Elephas maximus indicus: one gene and its partners. The protein of the gene in region 1 purifies or fractionates together with the protein of each later gene. This does not show direct contact. Links are inferred from orthologs where the notes say so. Each region holds a gene or a part of one and is shown in the gene's direction. Other genes may lie near its edges.

Region 1 (7,316 bases):
GAACTATTTGTTGAAAAACTATCCTTTCTCCACTAAATTCTCTTTACATCTTTCTCAAAAATCAGTTGTACATATACAAATGGATATATTTCTGGACTCTCTATTTTCTATTGATTTGTGTTTGTGCCAATACAAGGTTGATAAGTCTTGAAAACAAGTAGTGTTAATTCCGCAAATGAGTCCCTTGGTGTTGCAAACGGTTAAACACTCAGCTGCTAACTAAAAGGTTGGAAGTTCAAGCCCACCCAGAGGTACCTTGGAAGAAAGGCCTAGTGGTCTACGGAAAAATCAGCCACTGAAAACTCTATGTAGATACATACATGGGGTCTCCACGAATTGGAGCTGACAGCAATGGGTAAGTCTTTGACATATTTGTTTGAATTTTAGAATTAGTTTGTCAATTTCTAAAAGAAAAAGTCTCGATTTTGATTGGGATTGTGGTGAATTTATAGGCAATTTGGAAAGAACTGACATCTTAATATTGCATCCTCTGACCATGAGCAGAGTGCAGCTCTCAATTAAGTATTCTTTAATTTCAGCAATGTTTTATAGTTTAAAATGTACAGGTCTACACATCTTTTGTCAGATTTACATTTAAGTATTTAATATTTTTTCATACTATTGTAAATAGCATAGTTTTTAAAATGTCAAATTCTTGTTTGCTGATTTTATTTTAAATATTTTTTCCCTATCATTGAAGTTTAATTTTTGTAAAGTATACAGATCTTAAGGGTATAGCTTGGTAAGTTTTTACATATGAATACAATGGTGTAATTATCACCTGCATTAGGATACATATTTCTAGCATCCCAAAAAGTCTCCTCATGCCCCCTGCCAGTCTTGAGATCCCCCACTGACGTCTCTCAATATAGATTTTTATCTTCATATAAAGAAATTGGTCATGATATACTGTCTATAGTTTCTTTCACTCAACATTATATGCAATTCATCCATATTGTTAGTGGTAGTTCATTCTTATTAATTGCTATGTAGCATTCTATTTTGTGATTATAGCCCAATTTATTCATTCTCTTATGAATATTTACTTCCAGCTTCTGCTACTGTGAAAAATGCTGCAATGATCATTCTTTGGCATGCTTTTTGGTGAACATAGTACTCTTTTATCTGAAAACATACCCCACAGAAGAATTACTGTGTGTATCTTAATAGGGTATATGTATGACTAGCTTTAGTGGATAGTGCAGAATGGTTTTCTAACATGGTTATACCAATTCACATGCTCACCAACAATATATAAAAGTTATTGTTTGTCTATATCCTTGTCAACACTTGGTATTGGAAGTCTTTTAATTTTAGCTATTCTGGTGGTAATGTTTAGTATCCTGTGATTTTAATTTCCCTGATACAGCTATTGATGTGGAACTTCATTTCATACCCATATTGGCCATTTAGGTAACATCTGAAAACAATGTAATTCACATTAACACATTAATAAAAAATATTAACATTCCAATAAAGATAGAAAAAGCATTGGATATTGCATGCTTTCTCCCTGATGTTACAACCAGAGGTGCCTCGCAAGAAAGGCCTGGCAAGCTACCAAAAATTTAGCCATTGAAAACCCTATGGAGCACAATTCTACTCTGATACAGACATGGGGTCCATTATCACCAATTCTATTCAACACTGTAGTGGACATCCTACCCAGTGACAGAAGGCATGAAACAGAAATAAAAGGTATAAAGACTGCACAGGACGAAGTTAAACTATCTTTATTCACAGATGACAAGATTATGATCATAGAAATTTCAAAAAGAATCTACAAAGTATCAGAAATAAGGAAAATCAGCAAGATGACTAAATATATGGCTAGTTAAAAAAAAAATTAAGGAGTCCTGGTGGTGCAAGGGTCAGCGCTCAGCTGCTAACCAAAAGGTTGGTGGTTTGAACTCACCCAGCAGTTCCTTCGGAGACAGACCTGACAATCTGCTTCAGTAAAGACTACAGCCTAGAAAACCCCATGGGGCACTTCTACTCTGTTACAAGGGGTTGCTATGAGTTTAAATCAACTTGAGGGCACCTAACAACAACACAACATGCAAAAATCAACAGGGTTGCTAAATACCAGCAACGAATAAGTAGAAAGTAATTTTAAAATGTTCTTTAAAATAGCACTAAAAACCCCAAGAATAAATCTAATGAAACGTATTAATTAATGAGATAGTCACATTGCAATCTATAAAACATTGCTGAGAGAAATTAAAGACCACTTAAATAAGTGAGGGAGTATACGGTATTCATGGATTGGAGAATTCAGTGTTGATGTCAGCCTTCCCCAAACAGATCTATAGATTCAATGCAAGCTCGATTAAAATCCCCACACACAAAAAAATTTTTTAAGCTACATTAACTTAAGACAGTGGAGTATTGGTGCAAGGTTAGACAACTAGATCAATGAAATGGAGAACCTGAAAATAAACCCACATATATATGGGCATCTCCAACAAAGGTGCCATAGGAATTTCGTGGGGAAATGACAGTCTTTCCAATAAACAGGGCTGGGTCAACTGAGATAGACCATATTTGAGATAGATCATAAACCTGAATGTAAAAGTTAAAATAAAGTTCTAGAAACTTTATTCAAGAAAACAGAATAGCTTCATGATTTTGGAGTAGGCAAAGCCCTCTTAGCTGCCTTTTCATTCTCTTAATACTGTGTTTTGGTAGTATGTCCAAGTGTCCGCTGGGAACCTTAGAAGTACCTTAAACTCAATATATCCCAAATAAAACTCATTGACTTTTCCTCACAAGTGTTTCTCCTTTTCAGTTTTCTAATTCAGCTAATCGTTATCATCTTTCACCAATTACCCAAACCAAAAACTTGCTTCCCTCCCAATTTATTAGGCAAGCCCAATTAGTTTCAATTACCCCACACATTTCTGGAATTCACACCCTCCTGACCATTCCTACAATCACTGAAGTATTTCAGTCTCTTCTTTGGCCTGTATTACAGCTGTCTCCCAACAAGTGTTCTTTTTCCCTTTAGTCATTCTTCCAGTATACAGACTAATGTACTTTAAAAAGGCAAATCTGTTATTACTTCTTGATTAAAAATCCTATAACGGGTTAACACTAAAAAAAGTCACGTTCAGGTTAAACATATCAGACCTGGCCCTTTATGACTTGGCACTTACCTACCTCTCCAGTTACACTGTCTGGTTTTTCCATAATTTTTGACCCTACCAATTTCAGAGCTCATATTATCGTTTTCAAACACAAGTCCTATTTCTTCTGTCTTAACCGCCCTTCCCACTTCGTTCATCGACTCTCAGTCATCCTTCAAGGCTGAGCTCAGGCATCACATCTTTGAGGAAGCTATTCGTATACCTCATATTCGGCTAAGTGCCCCTCCAGGCTATGATACGACTATGCTCCTTTCATATTCGCACTGAGAACAGAATTGGTTTAAGCCTCTTGAAAGCATTACCATCTTTGAATCCCAGAGCTTAGTTTAGATTTTGTATGTTGTAGACACTCAGCAAGTTCAGTTACTTGTTTAACTCTTACTAAGCCATTCCACTTCCCTCTCCTGTCCCGTGGAACTTGCTGGAAGCTTCTCATCAGTTTTGCAGGAATTAAAGAGCAGTGGAGAAGGCCTGCCGGACCTACTAGGCTGGAAAGCAAACCAGCACACTGCCTCAGGCTACGTTCCCCTCCTCAGAGACTTAGGATGGGAAAATTTCTCAGTTTGAGGAACCGAGCAGAAGAATGCCTGGGCTGCTGGCGTTTTGAGAGTGGAACTGTATACCCGCACCGGGACAACTTAAGGCAGGAACCAAAAACCTCCTCCTTTTCTAGCTTCTGTTAGTGCAGAGCAACTTCCGGCGAGTTCCACCCGGTTACAGTTTCCGGAGCAACGTTCCTAGAATGGACGCGCCATCCGGAAACTCAGCTCCGGAAAAGAATAGGCGGAAACGAGATAACGTCATGGGTTACGAGCGGCTCGACTGCGTGCGGTAGCCATGATAAAGGAGATCAATGTAGCTTGTATTAGTCATAGACTTAGAAACGCCTCCAAACGCTACAGCTACAGTTTTTTGAGGGATAGCAAGCAGTACGTTACAAGGCTACTTTTTAGTCACCACCCCTGAAGGTTCTATTAGAAAGTGCGGGCAGTCTTCGTGGTGTAACAAAGTGCGAACGTGCATACCCGAGGCTTCTCCGTAACCATGGCTACGAGGGGCGGGGAGGGGAGGGAACTGGGCGTGCTTAGGTCACGAGACCCGGGGGGCGGGCCGGGAGGAATCGGTCCTCCAAGATCCCAGCCGCCCCGAGCCCGCTTTTTGCCTCCCTCCCCGCTAGCCGCACGCTGCGTGGCTGCTCGTTGGCTACTAAGGACGGAAGCTCGTTTGGTGTTTCTCCAGAAGTTTCCTCGCAGGGCGGCGGTGGAGCTGGTATCCTTGGTTTTCAGAGTAATAGTAACTCCTAGGGATGGCGGCGGCTGCTGCAGGACCTGCAACACCTCAGAGGTATGTGTATTTTTTTTTACTTTTTTTTGAGCGTCCTTTTCTTGGTTGTCTGTCCTGCTGAAGTCGTTGTTTTCCTGGCAGGTTTTTCCGGAGCCTCTCAGATGCTCTGATCGACAAGGACCCACAGGCGGCGTTAGAGGTGAGAGCCGTTCTCTGCCTTTTCGACTTTGCTTTGGAGAACCGGGCGCGTTGGTTTCTGGCCGACTCCGCCCCTTCCTAGCACTGTCTTCCTTGGGCGGGGGTTGCTGTTTTTACTGTGTCTCAGCTCCAATATTGAGAGCCTCAGTCTCTCCTTTCTCTGTCCCCACAGTGGCTCCGGTGTCCCAGGCCCTCTCCTCGGCCGTCCCATTCCTAGATTGCCTGCATCTCCGCAGCTTCCTAGAAAGTATATTTTCTCTCCTGTTTTATCCTGGTGGTCTAAAAAAATTTTTGTCATGTGTGGTTGGAAGAGTGAGATGTGGGCTTGGTGAAATAACTTGTTACGGTTTTTGATTTGACACTCTTTTTTTTGTATTATTACGTACCAGGCATCGTTAAGGGCCTTTATGAACTCACAAAAATTTTGTCTTTGTCCCTAGAATTTTCGAGATGTCCTGTGTCTTAGTTTTTTGGTGCTGCTGTAACGGAAATATCACGCGTAGGTGGATTTAAAGAACAGACGTTTATTATTTTTTTTTTTTTACAGTTCAGAAGGCTAGAAGCCCAAATTCAGGACACTGGCTACAGGGGAAACCTCTCTCTTAGTTCTGGGGGAGATCCTTGTTTCAGCTTCTGTACACATTGCTATCCCGTGGATTCCGAGTCATAGCGACCCAGTATGACAGAGTAGAACTGTCCCATAGGGTTTCCAAGGCTGTGATCTTTACAGAGGTAGACTGCCACATCTCTCCCTCAGAGTGACTGGAGGGTTCCAACTGCTGACCTTTCGGCTAGCAGCTGAGGCTTATCCACTGCACTATTAGGACTCTTCAGCTTCTGTAGCCCCAGTTGTAAGTTAGAAGTCGTTAGGTTTAGGACAAACTTTACACTGATACGGTCTTGTTAACATAAAACGGTGTTTACAAAGAGGGTTACATCCACAGGGATAGGGGTTAGGACCCCAGCACATATTTTGGGGGACACAATTCAATCCATAACACCTTGTCATTCTTTTTTCTATACATCTCATTTTTTTTTTTGGCGGTGGGGGGTGGGGGGCGCTGCTGTGTGCTAAGCATAGACTTGCTTACAAAGCTGTCTCTGTGCAATGGAAGACGATGTGCAGCTGTAAAGAAGCAAGAATTAAATAATGATAAAAGAGAACACAAGCTAAGGCTACCCGATGCAATGTATGACAAAATTTAGCTGGGAGTTTCTTGTCATCCACAAATAAAAGGAAACTTTATTACATTGCTGTAGTCTAACTTAAGCAATGTTAGCAATTTGAGGCAAGAGAGCCTCTTTCCTAGCTATGACTTCTGAAAAGAATTTACCATGTAGGTGGTCACTAGGTCCTCTCTGAGGAGGTGACATTTGAGCAGAGACTTGAAGGAATGAGGTAGTGAACTTGAAAGCTCTGGTGAAAGAGCATTCGAGGCAGGAAGAACAGTCAATGCAAAGATCCTGAGGTAGGAATAAAGTCGGCCTGTACCAAACCAAACCCACTGTTGTTGAGTGCATTCTGGCTTATAGCAATCATGTAGGACAGAATAGAACAGACTGCCACCTCTTTTTCTCATGGAGTGGCTGGTGGGTTCGAACCACCAACCTTTTGGTTAGCAGCCAAGTGCTTTGACCAGTGCACCACCAGGTCTCCTTTGGCCTGTACAAGGAACAGCAAAAAGGCCCATTGACAAGAGTGGAACGAAAGAAGAGATGAGGTTGCAGAGGAAACCAGGGGATAGGTATCTTAGGGCTTTTTAGGTCAAGGATTGCTTGAATTTCTACATAACGACCTTGAAACTAGGTGATTGATTAGTCTGTTGTGTTATAATGTTTCACAGGGAGGCTTCAGGAATCCGTATTGGAATAATGTTACAGGTGGTACTGAGAGTTTATCACCACAGTTCTTGTATTAGTTGGACAGCTATTAGTTTTTGGAATCTGTATTTGTTATGGTCCTCTTAGGTGCATGGCTTCCTATGGAAATCAGGTTACTTAGAAATTGCTTTTAATGAATTTCACTATCATTTTCCATCTTGCTTGAAGCAGTTACACTCTGTAACACATGGGGTCACCATGAGTCAGAATCGTCGCGATAGCAATGGGTTCTTTTTTTTGTTTGTTTGTTTTCATCTTGTTTTACTTCTTTTAAAATTTGTTGTTGAGAATATACTCAACAAAACATACACCGATTCAACCATTTCTACATATGTGGTTCAGTGACGTTGATTACATTCTTCAAGTTGTGCAACCATTCTCACCCCCATTTTCTGAGTTGTTCCTCCCTTATTGACATAAACTCACAGCCCCTCTTAGGGGGCTCTTTCAAGTTGCTGTTGTCAGCTTGATTGCATATACCTAGTTCCTAGAAGAGCATAATGCTCAAGGCAGACATTTTTTAATAGTTAAACTCTTCTTTGGTTTGAAGAAAACTTCAGGGGATATTTTTGGTTTGAGGTTTAAAGATTATCTCAGGGTGGTAGTTGCAGGGGTTCGTGGAAACTTTATGGCTCCAGAAAGTCCAGAGTCCATGAAAATTTGAAATCCTGTTCTGCCTTTTCCCCCTTTTGATGAGGATTTGTCTGTGCAATCTTTGCTCAGAACATTCAGTTAATGGTAGCTGGGCACCATCCAGTTCAAGGAGGCAGTTGTTTATAGAGGCATTTAGCCACACGTGCCATATCG
Region 2 (6,958 bases), on another chromosome or scaffold:
CCATTTGCAATTGCTTTTTTTTTTTTATTAACTTATTGAGCTTCAAGTGAACATTTACAAATCAAGTCAGACTGTCACATATAAGTTTATATACATCTTACCCCGTACTCCCACTTGCTCTCCCCCTAATGAGTCAGCCCTTCCAGTCTCTCCTTTCGTGACAATTTTGCCAGCTTCCAACTCTCTCTATCCTCCCATCCCCCCTCCAGACAGGAGATGCCAACATAGTCTCAAGTGACCACTTGATATAATTAGCTCACTCTTCATCAGCATCTCTCACCTACCCACTGTCCAGTCCCTTTCATGTCTGATGAGTTGTCTTCGGGGATGGTCCCTGTCCTGTGCCAACAGAAGGTTTGGGGACCATGACTGCCGGGATTCCTCTAGTCTCAGTCAGACCATTAAGTATGGTCTTTTTATGAGAATTTGGGTGCAGTTGCTTTTTTAGGAAACACTTAGGTGTAGATTTTATAAAACACGTGCAAGTCTTGTATCCTGAAAACTGCAGAACACCGATGAAAGAAATAAAAGGGTCTAAATAAATTGAGAGACATACCATATTCATGGATTGGAAGACTCAACATAGTAAAGAGGCCAATTCCCCTCAATTGATATAAAGGTTTAACTCAATTCCTATCAAAATTCCATCAAGGCTTATTGTAGATATAGACGATTTTTTCCTAAAATTTATATACAAAAGCAAAGGAACTAGAATAAGTAAAACAATTTTGAAAAAGAAAAAATGTAAGGAATCAGTCTACCCAATTGCAAGACTCTGTGACATTGGCAAAGGGATATACACATAGATCAATGGAACAGAACACAGACCCCAGAAACAGGCTCACACAAATATGCCCAAATGATTTTTGACAAAGGTTAGAAAGTAATAGAAGAAAAGTAGCTTTTTCAACAAATAGTGCTAGAGCAGTAATTGGACAGTCCTAGGTATATATTTTTTTTAGGTATATACCCCAAACAACTGTACTCAGATACGTGTACACATATATTCATAGCAGCCATGTTAACAATAGCCAAAAGATAGAAACAACTCAAATGTCCATCAATGGATGAATAGATGAACTGATTATAAAATGGAGTATTATTCAGCCATAAAAAAGGAATGAAGTCTGATACATGTTATAATGTAGATGAACCTCAAAAACATTATGTTAAGGGAAAGAACCCAGACATAAAAGTTCACATAGGACTATATGTTCGGTTATAAAGGGACAGCATGAAAGATCTTTGTAGTGATGGAAGTGTTCTGTATCTCGACTGTTACTGATGTGCATGTTCTGGTTGTGACATATTACAGTTTTGCAAGATGTTATCATTGGAGGAAATTGGGTAAAGGGTAAACAGGATCTTTGCATTAATTCTTACAACTGCATGAGAATTTAAAATTATCTCAAAATGAAAAGTTTAAACAAAAAACTTTTTTATGAAATATTTTATAAAAATAAAATGATGGAATCACAAATAATAAGAGACTATTAAAAATGACCAGGAAGCCACTGGGTGGTGCAAACAATTTAGTGCTTGACTACTAGAATAAGTAAAACAACTTTGAAAAAGAAGAATAGAATGTGAGGAATCAGGTTGGTGGTTCAGACCCACCCAGAGGGCCTCAGAAGCAGGGCTTTGAACCAGTTCAGTCATGGCTAATGAAATGAAACTGGAACAGATCCAAATTTTTACAATTTGGGTGATCTGGAATGATAACTGGAACTGGAAAAATTATGGGTCAAAGCCCTGAAATGGGAGACTCAGAGGAGGTGTAGTGAGCGCCTTCAGGAGCCTGATGTGTGAGACTGGAGTATTGGCAGGACTGTGGTAGTGATACACATTGAAAGCGGCAAGGCCGGCTGCCATCTTTGAGCAGGACACTGCTGTTTCCAACTCTGCTCAAAATCCAACTATCAAGAGATTTGGTTGCCGTGCAATGCAAACATGGCCTTTGTTTCCTAAGAGGGAGATTACCTTCTAGCAGGGTTTTGACTTGTAATTCCCGTTCAGTTTCACCAAAATTTTTACGAACTTTGAGTCTGTTACAGTTTTGCTTCCTCAGCCAAGATTGAACTAGGAAGAACCAGTTCAAAGACCTTCTTGGAAGACAGATCTGGCAATCTCCTTCCAAAAGGTCACAGCCTTGAAAACCCCATGGAGCACAGTTCTACTCTGCACACATGCGGTCGCCGTGAGTCGCAATTAACTCGATGGCAACTAACAACAACAGTACTAAACTCCAAAAGTGTCAGCAGAGCATAAAAATGACCAGGAAAACTAGAAATAAAGCAAAAATAAAAAAAAAATTATTAGAAAGTAAATATATCATTGATGAAACTAAGAATTTAAGTGGCTGGTGTTGGTTCTTATTGCTACTATAATAAATTACCACAAAGGTAGTTGCTTAAGACAACACAAATTTATCTTACAGTTCTAGAGGTCAGAAGTCTGAAAATGGGTCTCCCTGGGCTAAAATCAAAGTTTCAGTAGGACTGTGTTCCTTCTGGAGGCTTGCATTCCTCACAGAGGCTCTAGGGAAGAATCAGTATCCTTGCCTTTTCCAGTTTCTAAAGGCTGCCTGGATTCCTTGGCTCATGGCCCCCTTCCTCCATCTTCAAAGTCATCACTGTGGTGGAGTCCTTCTCAGGCTGCCATTTCTCTTGTTCCTTCTTCTGCCTACCTCTTCCATTTATACGGACCTTTGTGATTTTTTTTTGTGTGTGATTATATTGGCTCACCCTGTTAGTCTAGGTTAATGTCCCCAATCTCAAGGTAAGCTGATCAGCAACCTGAATTCTCCATTGCCATGTAACCTTATTCATACATTCTGGGCTTAGGGCATCTTTGGGGTTGGGGAGCATTATTCAGCCTATGGGTTAAACAGTAGGTTCAAATATCTACAAAATAATTAATGAACTAAAAGATAGAATTTAAGATATTACTCCAAATTGAGCCAGAGAAACAAGGAAATGGAAAATCTGTAAGAGGTTAAATAAAAGGTATGGAAGATAAAATTCAGAATCCTAGAAGAAAAATGTTTTTTATTTTTTCTATCAGAGGCTCATATAAGGGTAAACTGGGCGATATAGTATCTTTTGATTCTTTATTTTGGGGTTCGCAAGTTTGCACATTGCATACTATCAATTTCACTTTCAGTTATGAACAGTCTTTCCTTTTCTCAGAAGGCAGCCTTGGATGGGAAATCCAGTCTTCATGAGTATGAGTAATAATATGACTGAATGTACGTCTTTAGTGTGAATAAGTGAGTGAGCTTTTTGTACCATCTTTAGGCCTTATGTAGACTTCCACCATTTAGAACTTGAAAGGAAAAAAAAAAACTATTTTATTGGGGAAATTTATTAATACGCTTAAAAAAATATTTACAAGTCATTACAGTTTAATGTATAGAATATACAATATATCCTGCCGAGAACAGATTTAAGAGAGGAAGAAAAGTTTAGATTTTAAAAACTATAAATCGAAGCACATGTTTTGTTATAAAAAGATGATTTTTCTTAGCTAGTTTTCATCGGGGAGCCTGTGGTACGTCTGAATGTACCTGTGAGGAGCCGAGTTTCACGGTCCTGCCTAGGCGTTGGCTCTGGTTGCAAGTACTGGGCTGACATCTTTTGGGGGATGAGCCTGAGCTCGCGGCGGCCGCGGCCGAACTGGCTTGACGAGTTCCCACTGGGATTCCAAGTGTGTCACCTCTGGGCGAACTCCTGGGCCTGCCCGCACGTCCTGCGCGGTGCCGCTAGTCGTTCCAAATCCGGCACAAAGCACCTCTTAAGACTGCCGGAGGCAACTTTCTGCGCTCCGCCTCTCCCGCTCCCGGCGCAGGCCGGGCTTTCACCTCGGCGCAGCTGGCAGAGGCTCGGGGGTGTGGTCAGAGGGACTCGGGGGCAGCTCCCAGTCCCGCCAGTTCCCTTTCCGGGCCAGCAAGGCGGCCGCACTGGCCCTCCCCCTTGCGAAGCTGCTGGCGCGGCGCGTTCTGAGGCTTCGGCTCTCCCAGGCCTCTGCGCCCCAGGCTTGGCGCGCTCCCCGGCGTCCCTCGCTCTCCCAGCAACTGCGGGCTCTGCAAACCTGGCGGCCAAGTAAGCTCCAGCAAGTTAAGTCTCAGGGACTGTGGGGTGGAGGTAGGAGATGGGGGATTCGCGCTGGGCAAAAGTTTTCAGAGTTACTGGGCATGGAGAGCGAGGGCGCGCCCAGGGGGCGGGATCCTGCGAGCGGGCGGAATGCGACGCTGCTCTGGGAGAGGTCGGGTGGAACAAGGCAGAGACACCCGGAGTTTGAGGAATGCAGCGACAGTTCAGAAGGATAAACGTCGTCGTCAGTGGAGTCGTTCATTCTACTGTGGTCTAAGGCGGGGATTCTCAGCTGTGGCTATACCTTACAATCACCAGGAGCGCTTGTAAAATCTGGATGTCCAGCCGCAGCCCAGACCAGCTCCATCTGAATCTCTGGGAGTGGGACTCAGGCCTCTGCATTATTTAAAGCAACCCGACTGATCCCAATGTGCAGCCAGTCTGGGAGCCAGTAATCAAAGTGTGACCCCCGAGAGAAGGTGGAAAGGCAGGGCAGGGGCCTTGATTCGAGTCCAGCCTGAAGGCGCGTCGGCCGTTCCCAGCCTCTAGCTCGGCCCGGCCCTCGGGACTTGGGAGCAGACACACCCCCTGGGTTCCCAGGGAGCAAAGAAGGGGGATAGAACAATGTTTGACAGGGTCGCCTGAACATCATGTTCAAAACAAGCCCCAGATATGCACACAAACTTAAGGCACATTGTGAAAAACATAAGGAATGATGGATAGGTTAGGTTGCCACATTGTTTCTGCATGCTGGGAAACGCCTTGATTGTTGGCATTTGAAATTAAGTTGGTGGAAACCAGTAAACCCATGGCCTTGACAAGAGCTAGGCTTTCTATTTAAGGATGAAGGTAGAGGGTGTGCGTGCTGCAGGGTCAGGTTTACCCCTCCTTTTTAAAGTCCTGTGTTGAAGATATTCCACGTCCAGAGAACTCTACCATAAATTTTGGAGAGGTGTGGACATCACAGGGTGGACCCTCCCTGTGCCTAGATGCTGGGGGCAGATAGCTGTAATCCAGGCAAGCAGGGCCACCCGACAGACTATTACTACATATGCCAAGCAGCTAACACCCCCAAAAAACAAACCCATTGCTGTCAAGTCGATTCCCTCTCAGAGAGATCCTATAGGTCAGAGTAGAACTGCTCCATAGAGTTTCCAAGGAGCACCTGTTGGATTTGAACTGCCGACCTTTTGGTTAGCGGCCATAGCTCTTAACCACTATGCCACCAGGGTTTCCAAGCTGCTAGGAAAGGTGGATTTAAAACAACAGAAAAGTGCTAAGAGAGGACCTTGAAGGGTTTTGTTTTTGTGGAATGTAGGAATAAGATCAAGCTTTGCAGCCCTTCAAACTTGGGCCCATATTCGGATTCCATCACTTGTGAGTTCTATACGTGACCTCGAGTTAGTTACTTGACCTCTCCCAGCCTCCTCTTACGTGTAAAATGGGGATATAAGTAGTTAAGAGGCTAAGATAGGTAAATGAGATCATGTCTATCAAACTCCTCGCTGGCACGTGATGGCTGCTTTGTAAGCAGTAGCTTTCAGCCACAGGAGTGGTGATGTGTGTCTGACAATGTTTATTTAGTGCAGCCACTGTGAGGAGGAGTGTTTGCCCAGAAAATGCCTCCCTTGAAGCTCCATTCTCCTCGTCTCCTGTCTTGCAGCCTCCGCTCAGAGGAGGGCACCATAGTTTCTTCCTCTTCCAGCCTCTGGGTGCTTTGAGGTCTGGAATCTCAGTCCACTAAACTCACCGACTCATAGTGACCCTATAGGACAGAGTAGAACTGTCCCATAGGGTTTCCAAGGCTCTAATCTTTATGGGAGCAGACTGCCACAGCTTTCTCCCATGGAGCAGCTGGTGGGTTTGAACCACTGAACTTTTGGTTAGCAGTCAAGCACTTTAACCACTGCGCCACCAGGGGTAGCTTTTCCTTTTCTCCCATAACCCCTGGAGGGCTTGTTAATGGCTCTGGATACAGTTTCATCCCATGTGACAGGAATGGATTTCTTGATGAAAAAAATTGGCCCTTGTTCTTGAAACTCTCCACCCCACTGCGATGCATGTCAAAAAAATGGGCTCCCATGAAATCTAGGCTGTCTACAGGGTTTCCGAATTGATGTGGGCCCAGGTGGCACTCCTGCCGGCAGCTCCTCAGACCATGTCCTTTCTGTTTCTGTTTCCACTCATGTCTCTTGGCCTGAGGAGCAGTGAGAACTTCTGCAGTGACCAAGAACAGTCAGGAATCTGGGGAAGGAGGAACTCATCCTTCAATTGCTCATGCCCGTGCTCGGCTCAGCCGTTTACCCTGGTACCTGCCATGTGTGTCGTTGGCACTCATTAAGAGCTGCTTGGTCATTTTGATAGTAGCAGCAGCACTGATTAGATTAGACACTGGAAATGTAAACAGTGTAGTAATAAAGGTATAAAAAAAGTCAAGTGTTTTTACAATGTATGTGCAATAATCACTAATACTTAATATCAAAATCTTTTTAAAATCATTTTCATCAAAAGAAAAAAAGTTCCAAACTCTCTGTACTTGCTGTGTAGTTTTTCTGTGAAGCTAAAACTGCTCTACAAAAAAAGTCTGTGAAAACAAAAACAAGCAAACAGAAAGTTTGAATATTTGTTCAAAATCTAAGCCAACCTAGGATTTCAGGTCTAAGTTACCAGTTTCTTCTATGCTTCTTCCATTTTGGGGATTTTAGGCAGGATGGGGGGGTAGAAGCTGAAGTTTGTACTTGTGCTGAATTGCGTCATGCAGAAGCTGTAGGGATTTTCAAGTTTGCTAAAGTAGTGTTTTCCTTTATCTTCTGGAGAAAGTTGTGCTAAGGGCCTCCTTTCATTCTACCTCAAAAGCCTGAGCTTGT
Region 3 (7,798 bases), on another chromosome or scaffold:
TTGGTATTGTTTACTGCTGGTGAATGAAGCCTGCACATACTTGTATGACTGTCCCTGGTAACCTATATTGTAATGGGAAGTGGGTGGACTACATGGCCTCTATTGCTTGGTCTAAAATGTCATTATTGTGACTTACAGAACATCTATTTACTCCTGGAAGGCAGGATGTGAGAAATAAGAAAAAGGCAAAGAATTGTGGAATTAAAACAAAAAAGGGTGCCCTAAAATCTGAAAAGCTATCAAGTCAGAATTGACTCAACACCAGTGGAAGATGACAGTGGCAAGCTAAACTCTGATAAAGTGCAGATTATAAATTTGCACTTTATCCTGCCAGTGAGCAGAGAACAGATTAATTCAGTTTGGCCACCTGGGGCCCATCTCGGGCACTAGAGCAGTAATTTGCTAAATGGGTCCCTCACAGTAAAACGGAATGAGTAAATAGTGAGCAATTTAGGCATGGTAAACCACTAGTAGCTCAAGGGACATAAAAATGTGAAACTATAATTAGATCCCTTGTTCATAACGTACTAACTAAATGTTTTACATCGTATATTGCATCTTTCTAAGTTTATTTCTGGACACAGCTGAGCCCTTAACAATTTAGAGTAAAACCATCCAGCCATCAATTCATGTTCCCATTAAAACTCAAACCGCTTATCTCAGGAAAAAAAAAATTCCAAAGATGGTTTACTTTTATCTTAGATCTAAGGATACAAACAGGATTAACTTAGACGCGGAATACAGCAAGCCAATTATAAATCACACAGGATAAAGTAAACTGGCAGTAAATTGAAAATGATGTTTTTTTTCTAAACTTAGCAGTGAAAATATTTTAACAAGTTGGCATTGGGGTTTGCAACTTTTATATCTGCTGTTTCTTTTCAAGATGATCTTTATAGCATCTTAAGACGTGATTCTTTGAAAAGGGTGGCTAGTCAGAAACGTGGTATTACAGTGTACATTTGAAACACTTTAAAGGGGATAATCATGACTTACATGGTTTCAGAATACTGGCATAGTCCCCACTCTGTTTTAAGGAGGAGAAGCTGCTATTCCATGGGTGTCTGGAAGACGTTTGTCCTTGCTGATTCTTTCTTATTCAGAGAAGTCGTGTAGTGTAGGCTTGCACAGATGGTCTGGATGATGTGCCACGATATCAGCAAGCTCTAAGAACAGCTTCATTGCCCTTATCAATTTCTGCTATTTCAGCTACAAGGTTTCAGTTAATCTGGTGTTAAAAGTTGTCTTCTCTTTGCTTTTGTCGAATGCCATAGAGTCGGTTCTGACTTATGCTGTACCCTATGAATGACAAAATGAAACACTGCTGAGTCCTGCACCATCCTCACAATCATTGCTATGTTTGAGCCCACTGTTGCAGCCACTGCGTCAATCCATCTCACTGAGGGTCTTACTCTTTTTCGTTGACCCTCTGCTTTACCAAGCATGATGTCCTTCTCCAGGGACTGGTTCCTCTTGATAACATGTCCAAAGTACACAAGACGAAGTCTCGCCATTCCTGCATCTAAGGAGCATTCTGGCTGTATTTCTTCCAAGACAGGTTTGTTGGATCTTCTGGCAGTCCATGGTATATTCAATATTCTTTGCTAATACCATAATCCAAATGTATCAATTCTTCTTCAGTCTTCCTTATTCATTGTTTAGCTTTCACAAGATATGAGGTGACTGAAGATACCATGGCTTGGGTCAGGCACACCTTAGTCCTCAATGTGACATCTTTGCTTTTGCAGCAGATTTGCCCTTCCTGTTTACCCTTATCTTCCAGTATAGTAACTTCATTGAAGGTTTGGGGATGAAACAGGGAGGGATCACATTGTGGACCCTTGCCCTTCTTCATTCCCCTCAACTCTGCTTTTTCTTATCCTGGGTACAACGGAATCTGGGATCTTTCAGATTATGAACTCCATGCATGAAACCTAGCAAAATTGCATTCTACAATCTTCTTTGCCCCACCATAACCATTTTTTTTTTTTGAGTGGGGTAATGTATTTCCTTTTTCTTCATGCTGAGATACTTGAACAATATTTCCTTTTTATCCCCCCCCAATTTAATAATTTCTCATATCAAATCTTTACTTCTAGAGTATATGCTGACTCCTCCAAGCCCTCCCCTCTCCAATACTTTTGATGCTAAGTTCTCTGAGCAATGCTCCAACCTCCCCCTTTGGAGAAGGTGTTTTGGCTACAAATACCTTCAAACAATAAATAAAATTCTTAGAGGATAAGAAGATAGTTGTGTTGACTGTGTAAAACTAAATGACAGGAACCAGAGCTAGAATAAGTACAGTACTGTAATTTCTTAGAGAGGATGCTAATGGACATTGAGCCATTGGCAACTGAATTTATGACTAGAAGAAACTTTCTCTGAGCTTGTTACATTAGCTATAGAAGTATAACTCTAGAAAGGTGATATATGGGAGTTAATATTTACTTCTTAATATAGTAAAACTTAAGAGGTTTGTAGGAAATCAACTCAAGGACTAATGAATACAAAGATTCAGTGCTTTAGTACTGAAAATTAATACATGCTTTGGTTTTTAATCTTTTTAAAGGCTAGCTAAGTTAAAATACTGTTCTGTCCATTTCTAGAATACTTTGTGCTAGGGATTACTCAAGGCAAAGTCTAGGTAAGTGTAGCTGAAATTGATCTTCATATCATTACCTCTTTCTCTGCCTCTTTTCCTTCTTTAGGAGACCGACCCTTCAGCAATTACTCAGTTTCATTCACTCTAGCAAATTTCACCCAAAGTTAGCTCTCTATCCTCTGACTTCCTTGATTAGGTTAGTTTCCTTGTGTTACGCCTATTTTCACAATACCTTGTATTTGCCCCTTCCCCACACCCGTCTCACTGGTGGAATGTCTTTATTTCTAATTTATAAGCTTTATGACGGTAGGGACAGTATGACTTATTCAACTGCTGTAACTCATATATATGCTTATAATTATTTGTTAAAGTAATTCACTTGAATATGTTCTCCCTCACGGGAATTTGCATTCTCCTTAATTTTTACATGGAACACTGTGCTGTTGATTGGATTTAAATGGAATAAAAATTAGTTTTGTGAGGCCAAGGCATAAGATTTTAAAAGAAAAATATAGGAATGTCAAGAGTCATTCAGGGAAATATTTATTTTTTGTCCTGGTAGCTTTCTTTATTCCACTTCAGTGAAACTCTGTGGATAACCTAAATACAACTTTCTTTGCCCCCATCAATTTATGTGATTTCAACTTCAAGTTCCAGTTGATTCTTTCTTTCTTCCTCTCAAGTTTAGTAACTTTATTGAAGTTAATACGTGGGATAATACACAGTTGAAAACTATTTAAAAGTCTCACGTGTGAAAATCCAGATTTATAAAACAACCTAGGGAAACGGTAATTCAATTTAAAAGATTTACTAAATTCCTTTAAGTAGTAAACTGTCTTAGTCCAATTTACAGTTGTTTAAACTAAGACAACACAACTTTTCAGACCACAACTAAATATTGTAGTAGTACAAAAATTTTTTTTCCTCAGTGTCTAAAGGAAAAAATAAAACAGAACAGAGAAGATGTAAGAGAAAATATGGAAACAGCCTATCTAGTATCTTCCTCTTTCCATTGCTTTCTGTGTCACTGAGCTAACTTCAAACTTCAAGATCAGTGGGAGAAAACGAAACTAGCCTTTTTTTCTTGTCAGATATAGGAGTGGAGTAAGATGGAGTCGGGTTTGCGCGATTTTCACTAAGTACATTCAACAATTGTCCAAGTTAGGCTTTTCAAACACTCTCTTCCCTGGCCTTGAAAAAGAGGGACAAAGCGAGGCTGGTCCACTTTGATGGGCAGTTAGTTATTTTGTGGTGCTACAAGTTATGCTCGAATCTACCAGGTGCTCCTTGGAAACTCTATGGGGCAGTTCTACTCTGTCCTGTAGGGCTGCTGCGAGTCGGAATCCACTCCACGTCAACGCCCCATAGAGTTTCCCAGGAGCTCCTGGTAGATTTGAACTACCGCCCTTATGGTTAGCAACCGTAGTTCTTAACCACTACACCACCAGGGTTTCCTCCGACAGCTGAGAGTCCCTCAAAGCCCTCACTTTCAATTCGCAGGGAAAATAACAATCACCTGGCGACCGGAGTTGTGCTGAAAAGGCATACAGGTTAAACAACGGCCACGATCAACGTTCCCCCACAGAGCTCAACAGCAGAGGGCACAATACCCACTGTCCAGTGTCGGGCGGCCAGGGGCGGCGGGACCTAAGGATTGCTGGGGCTTGTAGTTCATCTTGTCACCCTTAGGTAGGCCCGTACTCAGGTTAGAACTACAACTCCCAAATAACATCGCGCGCCACTCTTGTCTCCCTCTCCCTCTCAGAGGCGGTGGCCGACCAGGCCGGGTCTGGAAGCCCCGGGAAACTACCGGACTCCTCATCCTTACGCACGCGTCACATTTGTTTACCTTGAAGCCCCGCCCCTGCCAACCCTGGCTCTCCCCCGGAGGCCGTAATGTCGGCGATGCATATTCATAAGGCCAGTGGGGGAGCCCCTGGCCCTCTCGCGGCGCGTGATTCATATTCAATGAGCCAGGCTTCGCGGCTGGCTAGCCCGGGCGAGGCGGAGCGGAGGCGGGGCCTGCACCCCGAGCCGGCGGCCGGGGCGGGGAGGGCGTGTGGCGGCGGCGGCTGGCGGGCGAGCGGGATGGAACGCCGAGACACCGGCGGAATGCTCCGAGTCGCCACATAATCCCACGGAACGGCCGCGCCGAACGCCATTGGCTTCGCGCTGCTCCCCGCGCCGCTGCCGGCTCCCGCCTTCGCCTCGCCGCCTCCCCCTCGGCCCGCCGCCTCCGGAGCTGGGGGGGAAACGCCGAGCGCCATCGCAATGGAGACCGCGGCCGCGGCGCAGCGCCTCCCCGAGCCCGGCCGGGAGGACCGAGCTCCGGCTTCAGCGGCCGCAGCGGCGGCGGCGGCGGCTCTGGTGGCGGCGGCCGGGGGCGGCCGGAGCCCGGAGCCCGCGCTGACCTCGAGCGGGGGGCACGGCAGAGGGGCGCGGGCGGAGGCTCCCACAGATGCGCAGCCGGGCAGGGCGAGCTGCACCGGGCGCAGGCGGCGGCGCGCGGCGCCCCAGGCCCCCGCCGGCGGGGCTCCCCTTGCGCCCGGGGCCAGCGGCGCCAACTCCCTGCTGCTGAGGAGAGGGCGGCTCAAGAGGAATCTGTCCGCGGCCGCCGCCGCCGCCTCGTCGTCGTCGGCCGCGGCAGTCTCGCGCTCGCCGGGCGCCGCCGGCCTGGCTGCCTCCTGCTCGGCCGCGGCGTCGCTGTGCACCCGCAGCCTGGACAGGAAGACGCTGCTCCTCAGGCACCGGCAGGCGCTCCAGCTGCAGCCGTCGGACCGCGACTGGGTGAGGCAGCAGCTGCGGCGGGGTTGCGTGCATGTCTCCGACCGCCACCTGGCCGCCGCCGGCCTGCGCCCGGTGCTCTGCACGCTGGACACCACGGCCGCCGAGGTGGCCGCCCGCCTGCTCCAGCCGGGCCACAAGGGCGGCGGCGGCGTGCTGAAGGTGCTGGGCAGGGGGACCGAGCCGCCGTGCACGCCCCCCGCCCGCCTGCCGCTGCCCTCGGGGGGCGCCGTGGACGGCGCGGTCGCGCGCGCGGCCTCCGACGCGGAGAGCTTCAGCCTGAGCCCCAGCGCTGAGAGCGTGGCTGATCGCCTGGACCCCTCCGGCGGCGGCGGCGGCGGCGGCTCCTCGTCGTCGTCCGAGGAGCTCGAGGCCGACCCGGGCCCGCCCCACCGCCGCTCCCCGCAGCCTGGGCCGGAGCGCCGCGCCCTGCCGCGGTCCCCGACGGCCTCCCCGCCGCCGCCGCAGCCCGGGGCCGCGAGGGGCGGCGACCGGCCTCGGGAGGAAAAGGAGGCCGCGGAGAAGGCGACCCCACCGCCCACCCTGTACGTGCAGCTTCACGGAGAGACCACCCGGCGGCTGGAGGCGGACGAGAAGCCACTGCAGATCCAAAATGACTACCTCTTCCAGCTGGGATTCGGGGAGTTGTGGAGGGTGCAGGAGGAAGGCATGGACTCGGAGATCGGCTGCCTCATCCGCTTCTATGCAGGTAAGGGATCGCCTGCTCTGGGGCGTGTGTGGTGTAAACACTGCTACGTACCGAAAAACGATCCAAATGTGCCGTTTTTTGCCCAAACCAAGGGGACACAGGTCCTGCTGAGTCTTTGTTGTCACTTTTCTACAGCTTTCAAGTACAATCTTTGTGACACTAAGTTGAGCCATTTTTAAATCCGTGAGTTTGAGTCAACCTCGAGGGCTCCTAGGTTGGAAAGTACGTGGAGCAGGTGGCAGGTCACCAGGAAGTACAGGAAGCGGATACCCCTGAAATAGACAACAGAGCATTGAATAGTAAAGGTGCTTTCTTGAGGCCTCTCCTCGTGGACATGTTGAGGTTGAGACAGTTTGGGATTTCAGGGAAACCATCATGTGCACATAAATACTGACAGAAGCAGCAGAAATACTCCAGAACACCCTCCTTAGGCCTGCGTGTTGGCAGTTTAGTATTGTCGCTCTAGGGATCCACCACCGTCAGCTTTTCCTTGTCAACTGATGCACTTGTTCTGCTCTTTGCCCTGCTTGTTTGCCCACCCGAGTCCTTATTAGAAACCTAGCCAATAGGGTCCTTTTTGGTAATACTTCTAAACTCCATTACGTATTTGCTTGTTTTTCAGTTTCCATTGCAGATTTTATTCTTGCATCGACAATGATTTTATGTGTTTCTCATTCTTTTTACAAGGCTTTGTCGTCGGAACTGACCATTGCTATATGACTTGCAATAAACTCAAAACCAAACCCATTCCAACTCATACCAACCCTATAGGACAGAGTGGAACTGTTCCATAGGGTTTCCAAGGGTGTAATCTTTATGGAAGCCAACTGCCACATCTTTCTCTGAGGGAGTGGCTGGTGGTTCGAACCACTGACCTTTCCGTTAGCAGCCAAACATTTTAACCATTGCGCCATTTAACCATTGCAGGGCCCCTTATGGCTTGCAGTAGGGTTCCAGATAAGAATGTGACCTAAAATCCTCCCCATTGTTTTTGCAGTCTCAGATAAAATTCTTGATTATGGGTAGCCAGTGTAAAGTTTCTCTTTGGGCTAAAGACTTGAGTGGCACTAAATTAGGGAGCTGTGGGTCCTAGTTGTTATATTTGAGCTTTGTAAGTTGTTTGGACCCTTTCCTTTCTTTGGATTGAAGAACGGTGCTCTTAGTGAGAAGGATTTTTCATTTAAAATAAGTTAGCACAGCAAAATTGAAAGAGGAGGGTTAAATCTCCACCTTTACTTATTCTGGGGTGTAGGTGATGGTGAGAAAATGATCACCTTTGTAACTCCATTAGGCTGTAGCCATTCTTTCAAATTTAGTATGTTTTTTTGGTCCCACTTGTGCCCTTGTACCAGTTTAGTCAGTTGGAATGACTAGACCTTTACTCCCACGCTGAAATATGCAAAACTTGTAGCATTCCTGGTGAAATGTTCATTTAAGTTTCATTGAAGTTGTTCTGAAATTCTTCAGTGGATTTCTGCCTTATGAAGAAAATCAAATCATAATATAATAGCATTTGCACTATGTGAATCTCATATCTCAGCTGGATGGCATGCCTTTTAAAGTTTATGACCCAGAAAATGGGTGATTTTTAATATAGGATCAACAGTTATATGTAGCTCATGTAATTTGTAAAACGTTACTTTTACAAAAGCATTTCATTGTAATCACACTTGGAAGGAGCATGTTTATTTTGTTAACAGGAG
Region 4 (7,850 bases), on another chromosome or scaffold:
AGGTGTTCACCAAGTTGGCCAACTTTTCTGACAGAAATTTTTCATAGTAAAATAAAGGGAGCCATCTTCTGGAAGAAACTGGTATTACTGATTGGCTCACAAAGGTGAAGGGAACAAAGCACATAACTGTTATTTTAAGTTTTTTGACATACCCTATTGGTTCTTGCTCATGTGCCCAAGCTGTCCTCTTGGCTAGAAAGCTTTCCTTCCTCCCACTGGCTAACTCCTACTCAGATTTTACTTCCTATAGAAGAAACCAAAGCTGTTAAAGATCTCATTCTACTTAGATCAACAGTAAACGTCCACAGAAGCAACAGTCAAGAAATCAAACACAGTAACATACTGATTTGGGTAAAGCTGCTGCAAAGCACCTCTTTAAAGTTTTAAAAAGTAAAGTTGTCACTTTGATAACTAAAGCCATGGTCTTTTCAAAAGCCTCCTACGCATTGAAAATTGGATAATGAAAAAAGAAGACAGAAGAATTGATGGGTTTGAACTGCGGTATCGGTGAGGAGTACTGAATATACCTCAGACTGCCAAAAAAACGAACAAATCAGTCTTGGAAGAAATACAACCAGAATGCTCCTTACAAGCAAGAATGGTGAGACTTTGACTCACTTACTCTGGATACGTCATCAGGAAGGACCAAGCACTAAACAAGGACATCATGGTAAAGTAGAGAACCACTGAAAACAAGGGAAGCCCTCAATGACATGGACTGACATGATAGCTGCAACAATGGATTTAAACACACCAATGATCGTGAGGATGGTGCAGGACCAGGCAACGTTTCCTTCTGTTATACACAAGGTCGCCGTGAGTCTGAGCAGACTGACAGCAGCTAACAACGGAACAGGGCTCAGAAAATGTTTTCTGTAAAGGGCCAGATAGGAAATACTTTAGGCTTTGCAGGCTAAGTGGCGAAATCAAGAATATCACATAGGTACTTATTTAATAAGAGAAAATAATTTCCACAAAATTGTCATTGATGAAATTAGACATCGATATTATGATGTATTATATGTAAACATATTTGCAATATAACATAAATATATTTTTGTAATCCTGGTATGCCAACGAGAAGAAAATTCTTTTTTTGGAGTGGTGAGTAACATTTTGCTTAATTGGGGTTCAAAATTATTATTCCCTATTATTATTATTATTTTTTATCATCAAAATGGGTTGCAAATGTTCATCTGTTGATCCTGAGCTGTGAGGAGGTCCTATACCCTTCATCTTCACACAGTACCGCCCAATTCTGATGTCAATTCAAGGGATATACTTTTAATCGAACACATTAATCTCTTGGAAGGCAATTACAGAATTCGACTATTCTCTTGATTGCTTTGTTAGCATATCGGATTAATCACTTCCAATTGAATGTTAGGTAAAAGCTCCTCAATTGCACAGTTAAATGGATTTTGAAATATGGAAACTTTTCTTCCCTTGCATTGAGATCTGCAAAACACTGTGTCTTAGTTTCCTAGTGCTGTAACAGAAATACCATAGGTGAGTGGCTTTAAGGATACTCATATTAAACAGCTGGCAACCCTAACTTCTTGGGATCTTCTTGCAGTGATTTTGTGAAAATTAGAGGTAATATATGCAACATAGGTATTACAAAGCCTAGCACATAAAAAAAGATAAATCATAATTATGATAATAATATTAGGAAATTGAATACTCATTTGGGGCTTCTAGATAACCTGCGGAGCTCTGGTGGCACAGTGGTTAAAATGCCTGGCTGCTAACCAAAAGGTCTACGGTTGGAGCCCACCAGCTGCTCCACGGAAGAAAGATGTGGCAGTTCGCTTCTGTAAAGATTACAGCCTTGGAAACCCTATGGGGCAGTTCTACTCCGTCCTATAGGTCACTATGAGTTGGAATCAACTTGACGGCGACGGGTAGATAACCCATAGATAGACATTTCATAGTGGCAATAACTCCTTCCGTTCAGGAGATCATAGATAAGGAAGCCAAACCATAAAAGGCTACCAATAAATACTAACCAGAGAAGAAAATGTTCAATTTTATCCACCTAAACTTTTGCATAAATAAGGATTTTTTTTTACTGTAAGAAAAACTGGCACATTTTCAAAAGCTTTACAATGATAAAATTCTTCATATTAATAATATCCTAGTTTTAAAACTTAAAAACTCCGAAGTTATTATTATACTTCTTTCACATGCAAGTTCTCATCCTGATTAGAAAACCACCTTTATTTCGACAAGGTAAACTGCACTGTCCAAACCTGTGGTTTCAGTACCCTGCCTTCCTCCTCTCTTATATTCATCTTACCTAACTTATGTCCCAACACTCCACTGAAGCTGCTTTGTTGAAGGTTACCACTCACCATTACAACAGTCTCCTTCCTGCCACGATTGTCTGTACCTTCTTGTCCATCCTGCTACACGATCAGTTTAACCCTTCTAAAACACAAGTTTCATTATGTCAATCCCTCACTCAAAAACACCTAATGAAAACTAGCAGTGGGAAATAGGGTGAGGCCAGATTATGGTGGTTTTTGGAAGTTGAATTTCAAGTGGGATATGTTTGAGGAAAAGAGTAACATGATGAAAGGTATTGTTTTACCTTGATCATGCCAGTAACAGTGGGCAGGATGAATTAGAGATGGGGGAGACGAGTCAGGCGATCAGCTGTAGCAGGGATCAGGTATGCTGTGCTGGCAAAAAGGAAAGTCTTCCTTGTGGGCCTGGGCCTGTCAAAGAAATGCTACCTTGCCAAGGGGTTCATAGTGGTGTTGGTTATTAGAATCTCCTAAATTGGTTGGGGCTTGTAAGTGTTAACATATATAGAAGACAATGCAATTTAGTTTAAGTGTAGTAATTTGATTTTTGATGTAAAAGCTGTATCTGAAGTACAAAAGAGTTTCTGTGCTGTCACTTTAAAGGGTGGCTGGGTCACTTGGGCACATGGGGCCTTGCTCAGGAACACCCGGGGTGGATTATCCAATAGGCAAGGTAAGCTCTGTTCTTACCTTGCTTACTATATCATCTGTAAACAGTTTTTGTTTCTAGTTATGGCTGGAATCTGTCCTTCTCTCAAACTCACAGCACCTTCTTAGAGAATCAAGGCCTCTTTTCAAATTTACAGTCCCTCACAAGGACAGTTCACCCAGTAAGCAAGGTAAGCATGGGCTTATTTGTGCTTATTTGGTAATTTGTAGTGACCAATTTAAAAAAAAAAATTATTTGTAAGCACAAATAAGCCCATGCTTACCTTGCTTACTGGGTAATCTGCCCCTGGGAACACCTGTTCACTCTCTTCAAGATTAATGATTATAATTGGTTAGCCCCAGAAAAGGAGTCCTTTGGCTCTTTGCTCAGAACACCAGAGCAGATGAACCGATCAAAACTCTGCTTCAGTTATTGCTGTAAACTTGTGGGATCCTGTGCTCTTCAAGTACCCTCCAGACTTGCAGGAACTCCTCTCCCAAGTCGTTAGCCTCTAAAGTGGAGTGAATTGTAAACCCTCTCTCTTTGGGCTAGAGACTCTCCTCAATCCTTACTGCTCATTCCAGGGAACAAGAGTTAAAAGGAGGCAGCACTGAGGCTTGCTGTATTCATATATAGTAAGTCTGTGCTCTCTAGGTAAAGGGTCTCTAGGTTACAGGGGAAAAAAAAATCCTACTCAATTTCCTCTTCAGAACTAGGACATTTGTCTTCAGACTAAAACAGTACGAAACAGTAAAAGCAAAAACAGTGAAGGCAGGTGCAGTCAGATAGGAGGAGAACCAAGGAAGGAGGGAATGCTTATAGAATCAAGTGCCTGGAAATCTAAAAGGATGAGTTACTGGATTTTCCCAAAGAGAAATTATCAGAGACTTTGGAGATTACAGTTTCAGGAAAAGATGAGATCAGAATAAAGATTAAAAGAGGGAGTGAGTGAGTTAGTAGTAGAAAGTGGAAGCTCCCTTAATATAGTCTATGGTGCTGTCAGGTTAGTTTCTCACTTCCTATGAGCACAGCTTCATGGCCACCTGCAGCCTATGTGCATGTTTTTTCAACTGTCTACTTCTTGACTTCAGATTCTACCCAAAAACCATCTACTCAACGTTTAAATCCTAGATCGATTTCACTTCCTCCATCAAATCTTCCCTGAAGATTATAGTTGTCCTTCGCCACAACCTTATTGAGTTCCTAGTTCAAGCATACCATTTAAAACCATTTAGCAAGGAACAATTCTAATAAAAGTGTGAGCCAACCCCCCTCCAACTACCGGTTGCCCCCGAGTCGATTTTGACTCATTGCGACCCCCATAGGCAGTGTAATTCTTCAGTTTGGAGACTATATACATTTCAAATTTCTTTCGAATACTTCCTGGAAAAATTCTGGGTTCATACTTATTAAATGTACCTCCAGGTCAGAAGTTCTGTTAAATACTCGAAAACAACCGCTCAAAAATACTGTAAAAAAGTTTCTATCTCGATATGCTTTAAATCCTTTTACTTAGCTAAATTCTTATAAAATGTATCTATTTGACTATCATAAGACAGCTGAAGTCGTTCCTATAGTGGGGACTGTCCCCACAAGACTTCTGCGAGCTCTCAAGTTCAGACTACATTAAGTAGCTTCTTTATAATCATCCCGATGGTAAAAGTATCAAATTTCGCTAACACCTAGAAAAGGGGCATGAAATGATTATCCAATAATGCAGTTTGCTCATCTGTCAAATGAGGGAGTGGACCAGTGTTCCGGAGCTCATTACAGGTCAGTTTCTAATCCCTGGGTTCACTCCGTTAAGTTTAAACAGCCAATTAGGTCTTCTGGGTGCTGTGCATCCTGGGAGTTGTAGTTTCCGGCTCCCTCCTCCTGCCTACAAGCTCCACAGGAGTGGCCGCAGGACGGTTGCCTGGTATTATTAGCAAGCGGGAAGTATGGCGGTGGCGCGCGTCGATGCGGCTTTGCCTTCGGGAGAAGGTAAGGCGGTCCCTACCTCTGGGTCCCAAACTTTACCGAGCCAAATTAAATAGTTGTCTGGTGGAGAGGGGAAGCCCGGGTTTAGCTGTACAGTTCTGGACCAGGTCTTTTGATGCGCGGCTGTGGGCGTCGCGGAGGCGCGCTGCCTTCTGGGAGTTGTAGTCACCAGGCACTGTCCAGCCCTCCGGCCTCCCGGCGAGGGCCAAGCGAGGGACTACTGACCCCAGGGGCCTTCGCGCGCGCGCGCACCTCGGCTCCCGTGCTGCCGGGGCGGGGGGTTGGTGGGTTTGGGGCTGCGGTGTCTTTTCCTGGACGTTTGCTTTGTGTTTCGGGGCCGCGAATGAAATTGGCAGGATCTCCTTTTTCGCTGCCATGTCCCTCTTTCCCTTCGGTTTCTAGAACGTTCAGGAAACTGCACGGAACACCTTTTCCTACACTGACGTTGAACCCCTCCTTAGAAGGGAACGGTGGCCGTGATAACATGGGGGGGAGGGGGTGATCCAGAGCCCCCAGTTTCCCACCCCTCCTTACGCATACGGGGTCCTGGGAACGGATTTGGTCGCCGCTCAACAGAGCTCGGGGGGTGGGTGCCTCTGTGGCCGGGAGGTACCTCTTTGGGGCGCAAGGCGTGAGCTGAGCTCCTTTGTTTTGGTTACCGCTCCGAGGCTCCTCAGCAGCCGTTTGGATCGGGGTCAGGGCAGGGAGTCGGGACCCATCTCCAGGGCTTAGACCAGGGGCTCGTTATTTGGGACCTGTAAATTGTTCGGGGCGGGGGGGAGGTGACCCGATGGTTCTAAGAGGTCTGGCAAACCCCTCGGAATGGTGTGCAAACAAAGAGTGGGCATTTTCTGGGACAGTACATAGCTTGCATCAGATTCCCAGAGGAGTCCATGACCCCCCAAATGCTAAGCGCCATTTTAGACGCGGAAAAACGTTGAAACCTTCCAGGGAGCAATCTTAGCGTAATTATTTCTCGCAGTCCTAATCTGGGTATAAATTTGAAATTACAAGTTTCTCTGGCCCCGCCCCCCACTGCTATCTACTTCTGTTAAACTCCACCTTCTCTGCCCACCCAGGCAATTTACTGACAGTAATAGCAGTTAACATTTATAGAGCAATTTTTATGAGCCAGAGGATGTTCCAAGTGCTTTTGTTACATTATCTCATTTTGTGTAGAACTACATGATAAGGCAGGTATTATCATCACCATTTTACCGAGTAGACAAGTGAGCCCAAAAGAAGTAACTTGCCCAAGATATCACAGTGGAGTAACCCGATGGAGCCAGGATTTGAACGTTCTGTTATATTACTTTATTGAATGCTGTATGGTTTGTGGGCCAGGAACAGGACTAAGTGTTTGTCACATGGCTTCTCTTTTAATACAACCTAGTGAAATCGGTGTATTGTCCTCATTTTAGAGATGAATTAACTATACTTTTTTTTTGAAGTTGTCAAAAATTTCAGATTAAATGCAACTTTGAAGTTTACAGACAAGTTTATGATAACAATAATAACAAAGCCATATTGAAGAAGTATATTCCTCTGAAAAAACACTAGGGACACATTTGTAGAAAGAAATATGGCTAAGAAAACTGATTAAAGTACTTGAATTAAAAAAAAGTACTTGAATGATTAAAGTACTTGAACAACAAAACTAATATTTATATTGTAGAATATTTAGATAATATATTCTGCTAATTTTATTTTTAATGTGTAAATAATATAGTTAAGTTTTTTTTGCTTTAATGTACAAGGTGTGTTGTTTTTATATTTTAAGAAATACTTTTATTTTTGAAAATAGTTTTGGAATAGGCCCACAAATAAAACCAATTTAAGAATCAGTATTTCAGTATATGACAATATGATTTTTAGCATCACCTTTCACTGTGAAAATGGTTCTGGTTTGGATCATAATCCATATAGTCTTCCAAATGTGAAAGGAAAGCAATTTTGGCTCAGTATGCGCAAAGGCATTTATGGAGTAAAAAGAAGGCTGGTGAGGCTTTTGCTTAGTAAAAGGCTTCTTTTGGTTAATAGCCTTTGTCTTGGCTGCCTTTTTCCTGAGAGAACCGAACTATAGTTTTCAAAATAGTTTGAGTTCTGGGTAATATGCTGGAAGTTAGGTTATAAGCAGGTTGATCTTTATAAAAACTTCACTTCATTTTTTAAAAAGCTATTATTTAGTTATAACATATAGATGTAATAGTTCATATATAAATGTGCAGAATTCCAAAGTGTTATAGAAACTTGAACAGAAAATCACAAATCTAGTTGTACTGTTTTATTTCTAAGGAAAAGTGAATAATTTCAGTCTGGTCATTTTGAACTCAAGATGGGCTTACTTTTAGAATCTTGACATCCTACTCATATGAATCAGAATCAACTTGACCCACGGAGCAGCAACAACAGTGTTTTCTGACTCTAAATGTATAGGTTTTTCGCAAGTATAATTTCATCCTTGTGTTCAGCTGTTGTATTTGCTTTATTTGTGTTTTCCAACAATGTCCCTTCTCTTTTTCAAGGTTCAGTAGTCAATTGGTCAGGGCAAGGACTACAGAAATTAGGTCTAAACTTGCCCTGTGAAGCTGATATCCATACTTTGATTCTGGATAAAAACCAGATTATTAAACTGGAAAATCTTGAGAAATGCAGACGATTAATACAGGTAAGTGTTATTCTCTGGGGAAATAGTTACACAGGACCAGTTTATTATTAAACAAAACAAAACAATAAAATCACCAAATAGAAGATAACTCTGCAGGCCTGGGAAGCAGTAAATGTCTTGAATTTTTACTTACCAGTTTCTCATAATGATGAAAACGTATGTACTACATCTAGGGTGGACTAGAAAAAGAAGAATTGTTAAAAAAAGAAAACATTTTATGTTGGCAAAATGTTGTGTTGCTAAG

What was found.
Region 2: the proteins of SUGT1 (region 1) and NOD1 purify together in Homo sapiens (affinity purification with western blotting; 3 studies listed by BioGRID and IntAct, with this or other methods). This does not show direct contact. The link is inferred for Elephas maximus indicus from reciprocal best matches to the Homo sapiens genes SUGT1 and NOD1.
Region 3: the proteins of SUGT1 (region 1) and PHLPP1 purify together in Homo sapiens (affinity purification with mass spectrometry; 5 studies listed by BioGRID and IntAct, with this or other methods). This does not show direct contact. The link is inferred for Elephas maximus indicus from reciprocal best matches to the Homo sapiens genes SUGT1 and PHLPP1.
Region 4: the proteins of SUGT1 (region 1) and CEP97 purify together in Homo sapiens (affinity purification with mass spectrometry; 3 studies listed by BioGRID and IntAct, with this or other methods). This does not show direct contact. The link is inferred for Elephas maximus indicus from reciprocal best matches to the Homo sapiens genes SUGT1 and CEP97.

What each region holds. Positions count from the first base shown.
Region 1 is NC_064832.1:40,446,082-40,453,397, forward strand, and holds the start of SUGT1 (protein SGT1 homolog), read left to right. Parts: upstream 1-4,299; 5' UTR 4,300-4,452; coding exon 4,453-4,490; intron 4,491-4,571; coding exon 4,572-4,629; intron 4,630-7,316. UniProt on the Homo sapiens protein: May play a role in ubiquitination and subsequent proteasomal degradation of target proteins.
Region 2 is NC_064826.1:91,809,803-91,816,760, reverse strand, and holds the start of NOD1 (nucleotide-binding oligomerization domain-containing protein 1), read left to right. Parts: upstream 1-3,956; 5' UTR 3,957-4,100; intron 4,101-6,958. UniProt on the Homo sapiens protein: Pattern recognition receptor (PRR) that detects bacterial peptidoglycan fragments and other danger signals and thus participates in both innate and adaptive immune responses.
Region 3 is NC_064829.1:71,052,385-71,060,182, forward strand, and holds the start of PHLPP1 (PH domain leucine-rich repeat-containing protein phosphatase 1), read left to right. Parts: upstream 1-4,793; 5' UTR 4,794-4,873; coding exon 4,874-6,095; intron 6,096-7,798. UniProt on the Homo sapiens protein: Protein phosphatase involved in regulation of Akt and PKC signaling.
Region 4 is NC_064836.1:72,577,841-72,585,690, forward strand, and holds the start of CEP97 (centrosomal protein of 97 kDa), read left to right. Parts: upstream 1-4,836; 5' UTR 4,837-4,898; coding exon 4,899-4,941; intron 4,942-7,463; coding exon 7,464-7,606; intron 7,607-7,850. UniProt on the Homo sapiens protein: Acts as a key negative regulator of ciliogenesis in collaboration with CCP110 by capping the mother centriole thereby preventing cilia formation. Required for recruitment of CCP110 to the centrosome.